Callithrix jacchus: one gene and its partner. The protein of the gene in region 1 interacts with the protein of each later gene in a biochemical or structural test. Links are inferred from orthologs where the notes say so. Each region holds a gene or a part of one and is shown in the gene's direction. Other genes may lie near its edges.

The links. The genes of interacting proteins can lie anywhere in the genome.
Region 2: the proteins of ITPR1 (region 1) and CABP1 form a complex in vitro, tested with the Homo sapiens proteins (2 studies listed by BioGRID). The link is inferred for Callithrix jacchus from reciprocal best matches to the Homo sapiens genes ITPR1 and CABP1.

Annotation. Positions count from the first base shown.
Region 1 is NC_133516.1:61,801,800-61,807,383, forward strand, and holds part of ITPR1 (inositol 1,4,5-trisphosphate-gated calcium channel ITPR1), read left to right. Parts: intron 1-1,878; coding exon 1,879-1,998; intron 1,999-2,941; coding exon 2,942-3,139; intron 3,140-5,584. UniProt on the Homo sapiens protein: Inositol 1,4,5-trisphosphate-gated calcium channel that, upon inositol 1,4,5-trisphosphate binding, mediates calcium release from the endoplasmic reticulum (ER).
Region 2 is NC_133510.1:123,771,143-123,777,383, forward strand, and holds the start of CABP1 (calcium-binding protein 1), read left to right. Parts: upstream 1-2,848; 5' UTR 2,849-2,908; coding exon 2,909-3,559; intron 3,560-6,241. UniProt on the Homo sapiens protein: Modulates calcium-dependent activity of inositol 1,4,5-triphosphate receptors (ITPRs). Inhibits agonist-induced intracellular calcium signaling.

The DNA of each region.
Region 1 (5,584 bases):
AGAACGTAGTGTTAAAATGAGACCTGGGGGTTGCATCCTAGTTCCAGTGTGTACCACCTTGGTGAGCTTGGCTTTTTTCCTGAACTTTAATTTCCTCATCTGCTAAATGGGTAGTTATGAAAATTAAATGACAATAAATGCATGCGATGTGGATGGCACTTAGTAGATGCGCAGTAAATGACAATTGTTGGCCACTCATTCACTTTTTAAAAAATGTTAATTAAAATTTTTAATTTTTGTGGGTATGTAGTAGGTATATATATTTATGGGGTATATGAGATGTTTTGATATAGGCATGCATGTGTAATAATCACCTTGTGGAGAATGGGGTGTCCATCCCCTCAAACATTGATTCTTTGTGTTACAAATAATCCAGTTCTATTCTTTTAGTTATTTTAAAATGCACAATTATTGACTGTAGTTACCCGGTTTACAGTCAAACAGTAGGTCTTATTCATTCTTTCTATTTTTTTTGTACCCATCAGCCATCCCCACCTCCTCCCTGCCCTCCCACTGTCCTTTCCAGCATCTGGTAACCATCCTTCTACTCTATGTTCTTGAGTTCAATTGTTTTGATTTTTAGATCCCACAAATAAGTGAGAATGTAGGATGTTTGTCTTTCTGTGCTTGGCTTATTTCACTTAGCATAACGACCTCTAGTTCCAGCCATGTTGTTGCAAATGACTGGATCTCACTTTTTCATTTACTTTTTTTTTTTTTTTTTTTTTGAGATGGAGTCTCACTCTGTTGCCCTGGCTGGAGTGCAGTGGCATGATCTCAGCTCACTGCAACCTCTGCCTCCTGGGTTCAAGCAATTCTCCTGCCTCACCTTCCTGAGTAGCTGGGACTGCAGGTGTATGCCACCACACCTGGGGAATTTTTGTATTTTTAGTAAATACAGGGTTTCACCATATTGGCCAGGTTGTGCTTGAACTCCTGACCTCATTATACTCCCACCTTGGCCTCCCAAAGTGCTTGGATTACAGGCATGAGCCACCAGCCCAGCCTCATTCACGTTTTAGCACCTCTTGGTTATCAGTTAAACACTCCCCGCCTCATTACAATCAGTAAGAGTCTTGCAAGTTCAGTTGTTGGTTGAGCATTTTTATTATAGATTAGTGAATTATATTGATTGTATCTCATTCACACAGATCTGCCCCTCTTCCTTACGCCCTCCTCCCATTTCCTTCCCCTTCTCTTATCCTTCTAATTAAGACCCACATTTTCAGTTGAAGTGGGAAGCAATTGACAGTGTGGGTCTCACAGATGATCACAATGGAGTGCGGACACAGTTGCTGTAAAAACACCTACTACCATCCATGAAAATAACCCGCATTTTCTGGAGTCTGCTCACAGGCCAGGTAGTGAGCAAAGGAAGCACTTTTCATGAATTATCTCATTTAATCCTCGGGACACCCCTCAGAAGTGACACATTATCCTTTTCTGTAGATGAGCACAGTGAAATTAAGTAATTTCTCCAAATAACACTTCATATCAGAACTCCGCTAATAAGATCCTAACTGGGCTTCCAACAATGGTAGCCAACATTGGGGCACTGCCTGTCACCACTGTGGTTCCCCTGTGTCTCCAACACCCCTTCCATGTCAGCTTCTTTCTTGTCTTGTTCCTTCTTCTCATCTTTGCCTCATCACCTCTTCCTTGATCACAGCACTACTGTCTTTCCTCGTTGCTTTCTCTTCTTTCTTTCTGACATGTGGGTTTCTAGGGCTGCCATAAACACTGACATGGAGACCTAGAATGCTGCTGACTTGTCTTGGTAAAGGTGTGTTGGACCTGTGCACTTAAGGAAGAGTTGGGCTCCAAGAGCCTAACCTCTGCTCTGTCTACAGAAGATGTTTTGTGTCTGTTTCTGGATAGATTCTTAGATTACCTCTCCGACCTCTGTGTCTCCATGAACAAATCGATTCCAGTGACCCAGGAACTGATATGTAAAGCTGTGCTGAATCCCACCAACGCTGACATCCTGATTGAGACCAAGTGAGTGGGGAGCTGGGGTGTAGATGGAAAACCTGTGGTTCAGTCAGTTTTGGCGCTCATGAGGAATAAAACCCGGCCGTCATTTTCTGAGTTGATCTAAAGTCAGTGTGGCTGGCATTCAATCTTCCTATTGGAAAAGTCTTGGTGGGAGAATTACTGAATTTGATTTTGGGTGGCCTCCTCTGCACAGTGGTGCCACTTACTTGGCATACAAGTTTAAAAGTCATGTAAACTCACCAAGGGGCATTTTACACAGTTACATTCAAGAGTTTAAAACTCTTTGTAAGTATGATCATCAATTTAAAATCTCAAATGACATAATTAATATTCACTGTTAAGATTAAGTCAGTGTTGGGAGGAGTTTTAAATTACTGTTCAGAAAGTGTTTATTGGTCTGCAGAATTTTTGTTAACAGTAGTAATTCATTTTTGGCAAAGGAACAGTTTTCCCTGACAAGTACAGTGTCAGTAATATGGACAGTATTATTTTTAAAAAAACTAAATTATGTCCTGAGCTGGTGGTACTTCTTTGATTCTCCTTATAACTCAGTTTTGGGCTTCGGTGAATGCAGGGTTTCTCAGTTCAGGTGCTTTTACATTTTGGGCTGGGTAATTCTTTGTTTTGGGGCTGTCCCAGGTACGGTAAAATGTTTAGCAGCATCCCTGGCCCCTACTCACTGAGATGCCTCTAGCACCTCTCCATTTCAGTAGTGACAACCAAAATCCTGTCCAGAGACATTGCCTAACGTCCACAGGGGGCAGCAGCACTGGAGTGGAGCACTGGGGTACAGTGTATGAAGACATTAATGTCAGGCCCTCTACGGCTCTGCCCCTGGGGAAAATATAAAACAAAAAGTGGCTCTCCATATGTCTTTATGCTGAAAGTGAAGCTGGATCTCAACGTATTAAAATAGTAACTTTTCCCTTCTCCTGTTGTTTTCTAGGTTGGTTCTTTCTCGTTTTGAATTTGAAGGTGTTTCTTCCACTGGAGAGAATGCTCTGGAGGCAGGAGAAGATGAGGAAGAGGTGTGGCTGTTTTGGAGGGACAGCAACAAAGAGATTCGCAGCAAGAGTGTGAGGGAGTTGGCGCAGGATGCTAAAGAAGGCCAGAAGGAGGACCGGGACGTTCTCAGCTACTACAGGTGTGTGGGACATCAGTGCAGCTCGGATTGGGGTGCCCTGAAACAGGGACACTTAGGAATTTGTTGTTCATTTGTTGTTTACTTCAAGGAATCACAAGGTATCATCTTGTGATGATACAAGGTAAGATTGTCTAGGTAAAAGCCAGAAGTGTATTTTAGGAGTTTAGAGTGTAAGATTTCAGTCAATTGGCATCTGCATGTGGCTGGGTCCCAAAAAGGATGAGTGCTCGCATCAGCCCCTGGTGACAGTTTGTCCTTAAGCAGCATGGCCCGTAGATATGGCGGTAGGTAGGTAAGAGGCTGGCTGTGGGGTCAATTCCTGACCTCTCCACTTAGTAGGTTTTTGACGTTGGTCAAGTTTGATTTTATGCTCTAATTTCTTTATCAGCAAAATAAAGGTGATAGTGCCAATCTCACCAAATGTTTATAGAGAGAGCCAGTAGGTGTGTGTGTGTACGTACATATACCTACATATTCATCCACATATTTGTTTATGTCTACACAAATAAATGATAAAAGTCATATGCTTACGCTAATACTTCCAGTTTCATTCCAACACCATAGAGTTTATTCTAGCCTTCATCTTTTCCGTTTAATGACTCCCTCCAGCTGCCATGATTCCCATGTTTGCCTGTCTGCCCGTTCCCCTGTGTGTCACCAGTCTCACTGCTGCCGGCCACCTCCTCAGTCCCCAGTGTTTCCTTGGCTCCTGCTCTAAGACCTGCCAGCCGTGCCACCTGAAGGGAAGGGAAGGGGAAGAAAGAAGGGAAGCAAACCAATAAATACTTTAGAAAAAAAGGAAAGGGAAGATCAAAGCTTTTGTTATTTTTAACAAAATAAATAAAACTTTGCAGATAAAATGCCTTTTCTTGCCTCCTGTGTTCTGTTCTTTCATTCATGTGTGATGTGTGCATCCTGTCTACATTCTCTGTGTACTACACTTGTGCGCATCTATACATCATATATAGTATTTAAACTGTACTTAAAATGTTATATAAATGGTACTTTACTCCAAATATCGTTATACAACTAGCCTTATTTATTCAGTATGGGACTGAAGCATATCTGTGTTAATAGAGGTTGATCCATTTCTTTAATTGGGGCTGCTAAATGATATTCTGTTTTATTGATTTATCACATTTTCCATCACTGTTTGGTATTTGATCACATGCCACAGTTCTTCATGTCAAGAAACTTCTTCATTCAAATTTTTCTGAGTATATGTATGAGTTTCCATTCCACACTGGGAGTTGGGCTTGGAGAATATTCACATTTTAAGCTTTACTAAGCAGTTGTAAAGTGGATGTTTCAGTGTACACTCCCACCAGTTGTAGATGACAACTTTTGTTTCTTCATACCTTCGCTAACCTTGAATACCGTGATGCTTTTTAATTTTTGGTAATTTTATGAGTGTGAAATAGAATCATGTCTAAACCTGCATTTCCCTGATGTCCACTGAAGCTGAGAGTATCTTCAAATCATGGGTATTAGAAATACATGGGGTTTTTATTTTTTAAGACAGACAGACACTTTGTCACCCAGGCTGGAGTGCAGTGGCTTAATTTCTGCTCATTGCAACCTCCATCTCCCAGGTTCAAGCAATGCTCCTGCCTCAGCCTCCTGAGTAGCTAGGATTGCAGGGATACACCATCACACCCAGCTACTTTTTGTATTTTTAGTAGAGACAGGGTTTCACCATGTTGGTCAGGCTGATGTCGAACTCTTGACCTCATGATCTGCCCACCTCGGCCTCCCAAAGTGCTGGATTACAGGCATGAGCCACTGCACTCGGCCAAGGTTTTAAATTCAGCAGGCAGAGTCTGTTAGTTTGAAAGCCTGTCACTTTGTTGTTATTTCACATTTCAAGTATGTTTACTCCTTTAATGTTTCTTGAATCTTCTCCCAAGTGAATGAAAGAGTGCCTTAATTGGTCAGATTCTAGTTAACCACATTCACTTACAATTGAATGAAGATGAAAAGTGAGGAGTCCCCTACTTTTGTACATGAAATATTTTTTTTTAACATGTGTAGGAATTAGAGTGACTTACATGATATAAAATCTTTAAAATGTTACCAGATTTCTAATTAGGCTTAATATATGTGATATCTTTAACATTTCCTATATGGTCTTACTGTATAAAGCACAGCTGGAGGAAGAGAAATAGATAACTATCTTAGGGCTTACCATTCCCCCCATTTATTTTACAAAATAAATAAGGACCTAACGGAATAAGGTCATCAAACAATTGCTCCAACACAGCTGGGCAGACACATGTTCCTGTTGGCTATCAGCCCACACTCTGTTGCACAGCTTGAACCGTTCTTTTATCTGCTTGGTACCACAGCCAAAATCCTGGTGTACAAGAGCAATATAGGGGTGTCGATGTATGAGTTTAGTTGGCCAAATGTCACTCCCATGAAAGTCAGGGCTGCCTGGACGACCCT
Region 2 (6,241 bases), on another chromosome or scaffold:
ACTGCCGTAATATGCCAGCAGTGGCTTCCCTTCACACTTAGAGGAAACCCAAAGCCGTGATTGACTTTTTGGCCCCTGCCTTCCTCTCCAGTTTCATCTCTCCTACTCTCCCCTCACTCACTCCAGCCTCCTTTTTCTCTGCTTCTCCTGGAACATGCCAAGCTATTCCCTCCTCAGGACTTTTTGAACAGCTTCCCCTCTGCCAGGAAAGCTCTTCTCCCAGATATATACACGACTCGATCCTTTACTTCATTTTAGTTTCTGCTCAGATGTTCCCTCTGCAGAGAGGCCTTCTCTAATCACTGTCTAAAGGAGCATCCTCAGCTGGGCACAGTGGCTCATGCCTGTAATCCCAACATTTTAGGAGGCCGAGGTGGGAGGATTGCTTGAGGTCAGGAGTTCAAGACCAACCTGGCCAACATAGTGGACCCTGCCTCTGTGTAAAAATAAATAAATACAGTAGCATCCCCCATTAAGCCCTAATCTCTTACCTGCTTGATTTCTCCTTATGGCAACTTTCTTGAGCACCAGTTTGTCACCATTACTTTTCCATGCATTTATTTATTTGTTTATTTGGTGCTGAGGATAGAGACCATTTTGTTGGCAACCATATCCCTGGCACCTAGAACAGTGCCTGACAGATAACAGGCCCTCAATTATTTGTTGAATGACTGGATCAATCTTTGTATCCAAGATGCATAATGCAGTGCCTGGTTGTTTACATAGTTGTTAAATAAGTGACCAAATTAATACCTTTCACAAGTGGAATGGAATCCTGGTGCGCATCCAGGATTATCTGGGATATGAGCGCAGGCGTTTCATCCATTTGCTTCATGCCATCATTTTCATTTATTTACTCTAGTAATCACTGGTAACACACTCAGATTCTTCAGTTTTTCAGAAACTAGTCGGTGACCGAGGTCTTGCCCAAAAATATCTAGGCATTTCAGAAAGGTTACCAAGAGTGGCACAGCAGGGATTTAGAATACCTGGCAGTCCTTTGCCTCTCATCTGCTCCTGAGGGATTCTGATAAAGTTCTTTATCTCCTGTCATTTATATTGAATGTGCCTTTGTTTTTAATCCTGCCAAACACTGATTATTCTGAGGGCTGGAATAGGTAAGACATTGACTGACCTCAAACTCAAAGGGTGGACTCATTACATCCTGCAAATCCCAGCATACCCTGCAATGAGCCTTCAGGGCTGCAGTGCCCCGGCCTGCTTCAGGATTTGGGCTTTAGGAACCTGAGTGGCTTTGATATGGCAATTCAGTCTCTTAACGGTAGCTGATCTGGGGAAAGCTTTGCCACACTTTCCTAGTTCACTTTAGCCTCTGGGTAGTTGCTTTCCCAGCCCATCCCATTTTCCTTAATTCCTTTCCTATGGGTAAGTAAAAGAAGCAGTGCAGAGAAGGATGAACCCCTGGCATGAGGGAAGTATAATATTGGCAATCTGTTTCTGTATCCTTCTTCTTTTTTTCTTTTTTTTTGCCAGAGGGTCTCATTGTGTCTCCCAGTGCTCAGGCTGGAGTGCAGTGACCCAATTTTGGCTCACTACAACTTCTACTTCCCGGGTTCAAGTGATTCTCGTACCTCCGAGTAGCTGGGATTACAGGCGCCTGCGACCATGCCTGGCTAATTTTTGTATTTTTAGTAGAGATAGGGTTTCACCAAGTTGGCCAGGCTGGTCTCAAACTCTGGACCTCAAGTGATTCGCTGGTCTCGGCCTTCCAAAGTGTTGGGATTACAGGCATCAGCCACTGCGCCTGGCCTTGTGTATCCTTTTAATGAGGCTGAGCAGTGACCAGACTGTGGATGGCACTGGGTCCAGGGACCAGAACAGGGAGAGCCTGGGAGAACCCCTCCAGTCCCCTGCAAATCTTAAACACCAGATACTAAAGCAGAGTGGTAGATGGGGCCTCATGAGGCATAGAGGGAAGGGAACTGACTTAACTGGATTGTGCCCTGTCCAAGCACTGGGCTAGGCCTTTTGTGTATGTGGTATCATCTGCCGTTACCAAGAAATTAGTTATGCTTCTCATCTGCATTTTATAGACGAAGAGAACAAGGCTCAGAGAGGTTGATGACACCTGCCCAAGTTACCCAGATGGTAGGTGGCAGAGCTGGCATTTGAGATTCAGCTCAGACCTGGGAGGCTCCCTGGCTACGCACCAAGTGCAGGAATTTCTCTAGCATTTAGTAAGGCATGAAGGTGAAAGAGGGGACAAGGGCTGGAGGGGCAGCAAATGGGTCCTACCTGAGACTTGACCATCATCAGGTGCTGTCCAGACCTGGCTTCTCTTCTATTTTGAGAACTGATATCCTGCGGCTGACTTACCAGTGTCATCCTAGTACCCCGCATGGTACTGGGGGTGGAGGCAGCCCCCCACGGAGTGGATGAAGCCTTTCCTCCCGGCAGTGTCCTGCATAGCGTTCTGGCCCCTGCATTTGTAGGCAGTGGTGTCATAGAGTGCCTTCATGCTCTTCGGGTCTCCAGTTCTCCCTGGACCTCTCTGGTCCTCATTGCCAAAGTTGTACACCCTGGAGAGTGCACCCTGCCCGCATTTCTGGAGGCTCGGGCGGTTCCGGGGCTCGGCAGGAGCCTCCTCGCAGCGTGATAAAGAGCGCTGCCGGAGCTCCCGGGGTCTCGGCCTCTTTGGGGCCCGTTGCCAAGCCCCTTCCCTCCTTGCGTTCCTGCTCCACGCTGCTGCTGCGTCCCCTTCACCACCAGGGGCCGCCTGGAAGCGGGGCTCCCCCGGGGTGGGGCGGGGCAAGGGGCGGGGCGCGGCGGTACCTGGGCCGCCAGGGAGCTGGGGGTGGGCTCTCCGGGGACAGCCGGCAGCGCCCCCAGATCTGCACCGCCAGCCGCCGGGAGCTCCGGGCTCCGGGCGTAGAGGCTGCGCTGTCACATGGGCGGCGGCGACGGGGCCGCATTTAAGCGGCCGGGGGACGGCGCCCGCCTCCAGCACGTCCTCGGGCTCGGCTCCCGCCGGGCGCCCCGTTCTCTGCCCGCCGGGGGTCCCGCGCCGCGCCGCACTGCGCCGCCCCCGCCGGGCCATGCGAGCGCGGGCCCCGCCGTGATGAGCTCGCACATCGCCAAAAGCGAGTCCAAGACGTCGCTGCTGAAGGCGGCAGCGGCGGCGAGCGGGGGCAGCCGGGCTCCACGCCACGGCCCTGCCCGGGACCCGGGGCTGCCCAGCCGCCGGCTGCCCGGCTCCTGCCCGGGGACGCCGCAGTCGTCTGGGGACCCCAGTTCGCGGAGGCCCCTGTGCCGGCCGGCGCCACGAGAGGAGGGCGCACGGGGGAGCCAGCGTGGGCTCCCCCAGGCGCACTGCAGGCCCCGGGAGGCGCTGCTGGCTGCGGCGTCCCGACCTTCGCCGTCGTCGCCGCTGCCTCTGGCCCGCGGGCGGGATGGGGAGGAACGGGGACTGTCCCCGGCGCTCGGCCTCCGGGGCTCTTTGCGAGCCCCGGGCCGCGGGGACTCCGTTCCAGCCGCTGCGTCCGAGGCGGACCCGTTCCTCCACCGGCTGCACCCCATGCTCAGCTCCGCCTTCGGCCAGGTAAGGGCCGCGCCTCCCGCCAGCGCTCCGGGGAAAGGCGCTCAGGACCCTGCCGGCCGTGGCTGCGCGTCCACAGCCTCCTCCCGCGGCCCGTGGCCCCCACGGGTCACACCTCGGCTCACCTCTTCCTCCCGGGGCCAGTGCCCTTGCCGGCACTCCTCCTATGCCTGGTTCAGCACCCCGTGCGCTGTCCACGCTCCGGGCCTCTTGGGGCGAGGCGTCCCCGCCTAGCTTCTCTCACAACTGCCGGAACCCACCAATCCTGGAAGGGAGCGACCTCTACGACCCTCCTGGAGATTCGCGGGGATCGAGGAGGGGTGCTCCGAGCAGGTGGCGCCAAACCCACTCCTCTGGCTTCTGGCCAGTACCGTCAGGGTGCGACTCAGGAGAGCAAGCGGTTTGGAGTATAGGGGTCAAGAGAGAGGACTGCAGAGAACACAGAATTACTTAGGGTGAGGGACGCTAGCCACTGCCTATCCTGTCCCTGAAGGCCTGGGAAAAGTTAAGAGATTCAAAAATAGGAGGAAAGAGAAGCGGTGTCTGGGTAGGCATGGAGGGGTTGTGGTTCACACTGAAACTTTGGAGTGGTTTAAGGAAGCTGTCACTCCAGGGATGCCATTGGAAGGGTCAGAAAGGCCACGGAGAGGTCATCAGTCGTTCCCCCAGGGCTCTCCCTCAAGAGTCCCAGGCACCTGGACACCTGCCCTTTAAAAGCTACTCCATAGTCACAATCCAAGTCTACAGCTTGGGGCTGTGCTGCTGGGGAGACAGGTTCGGCAGAAAGGAGGAAAGCCAGGCTTTCCCCTAGTTCAGAGTCTGTAATCAAGTCAAACTCATTGGCACAGCTTTGAGACAGTTCTGTGGCAGCCGCGGAGAGGTGTCATGCAGAGGTCTGATTACAGTGTTTGCGTGGTTTGTAGGGAAACGGGGGCCTGCGCCTTTCTGTGCTAAGATCTAGCATAAAGAAGCCGTTTCGAGCTCCTGGCTTGCCACACTGAATCGGGATTCCAAGGAGGCCCTGTGTGTTTTGCTTCAGATCTGCACATCTCTTTTCAAAATACTACTCCGCAGTGGCTGTTGCTGGTGGAGGTCTGACATGAAGGCAGCCACACATTGATTTGGGTTGTGCGGGGCTGCTGTGGTGGGGCCATAGGGCAGCGGTGTGTGGCTTTGTTCCTGCAGGGAGCCCTCGTTAGCCAAGTTAGCTGGAAATAGTTCTCTGGATGCAGAGCTGTGAGAGTTAGTGAGGCTATGTGTCAGGGGAGTTCATTGCAGTGGTTTGGTGTTAGTGAGGAGGCACCAGTGTCAGCGCACCAGTGGTCAGGGCTGGGAACACAGCAGTAGGAACGCTGTGTTGTTGAATGGGTGATACCAATTCATTCATTTCTCAAATATTTCTTGAGCACTTATTAAGGACACCTTCAGGGGTTTCTTTAGTTCCTGTGGTTGGTTTGTTCAGACATTTGCGGACACCAGGAAGACAACAGTGAACCAGATAGCCAGGGCCCTGGCTGTGCCTAGCAGTTTGGAAGGGTAGGTCATTGGCCTAGAAGCATACACTTTCTGGTTACTCAGTTTGCTGCTGATCTGACTCAGCTCCTAAAAAAAAAAGAAGAAAAAAGAGCCCTTTCTTTCCTGTCTTGCAGAATTTGCCTACATGAGCCCTTTCTGAGCTCTGAGCATTGCAGCTACATGCTTTTGTTTCTCCTCATTTCTCAGACATTAAATGAATTCTGCAGCCCAGTGTTCTGAAATGTCACCAGGGTCACCCAAGTCAGGAGGAGCTGGAAGTTCCCATCAAATATTTACTACCTCCCTCTGGAAACTCTTGCTTCTCAGAGCTGCGGGCTTTTACTTTAAAGCCCAGAATATTCCGTTTGGGCTCCCATCTGACACCACTAAGTCATCTACATGAGCAACAAGAACAACAAACCCAGGCTGGGACTTTTGTGACAGAGCTTCCAGTCTCCCGTGACAGAGAGGAATTCATCTTTTCTTTTTTCTCCATATTGAGATTTCTGTCCTCAGAGACAGGGTCAGAACCAAGAGAAGGCAGATGGGGTTCTGAATAGAGAAACTTTTAGTTAAGATCTGCTTAGGACAAAATATAGCCCTGGGGAAAGTATATTTTTCATGTCTCCCCAAGTTCCATTTGTTTTTAATCAAATTGTTTAACCTCATTAAGTCTATTTCTCTTTTAAAAAATATTTTTCATAATAGAGACAGGGTCTCACTATGCTGTCCGGGCAGTCTGGAACTCCTGGGCTCAAGTGATCCACCTGCCTCAGCCTCCCAAAGTGCTGAGATGACAGGCATTAGCCACCATGCCTGGCCAAGTTCTGTTTCTTCACCTGCAATATAGGGATCATCAGGACATTTGGGAGATTAAATGAGATACGGAGAGATAGAGTTTGGCCCAGGTCTGGCACACAGCCCGTCCTAACTGTCAGTGTTAGTTATTCTTCTTGTTGTGGTTATTGTTGATTAACTACCAAGGTCTTTTTTCTTCTTCATTTGTGAGAGGGTCTCAGAGAGCCAGGGTTCAGACTGACTCTGAAAGCACCAAGATGAATTCTTACCTTAAAGGAAACAGGGATGAAGATTCTCCCGTGACCTCACAGAGCAACCTTATTGCATATGCATGGAGGCCACACAGTTTTGAGGCTGAGTCGTGGAATGGAG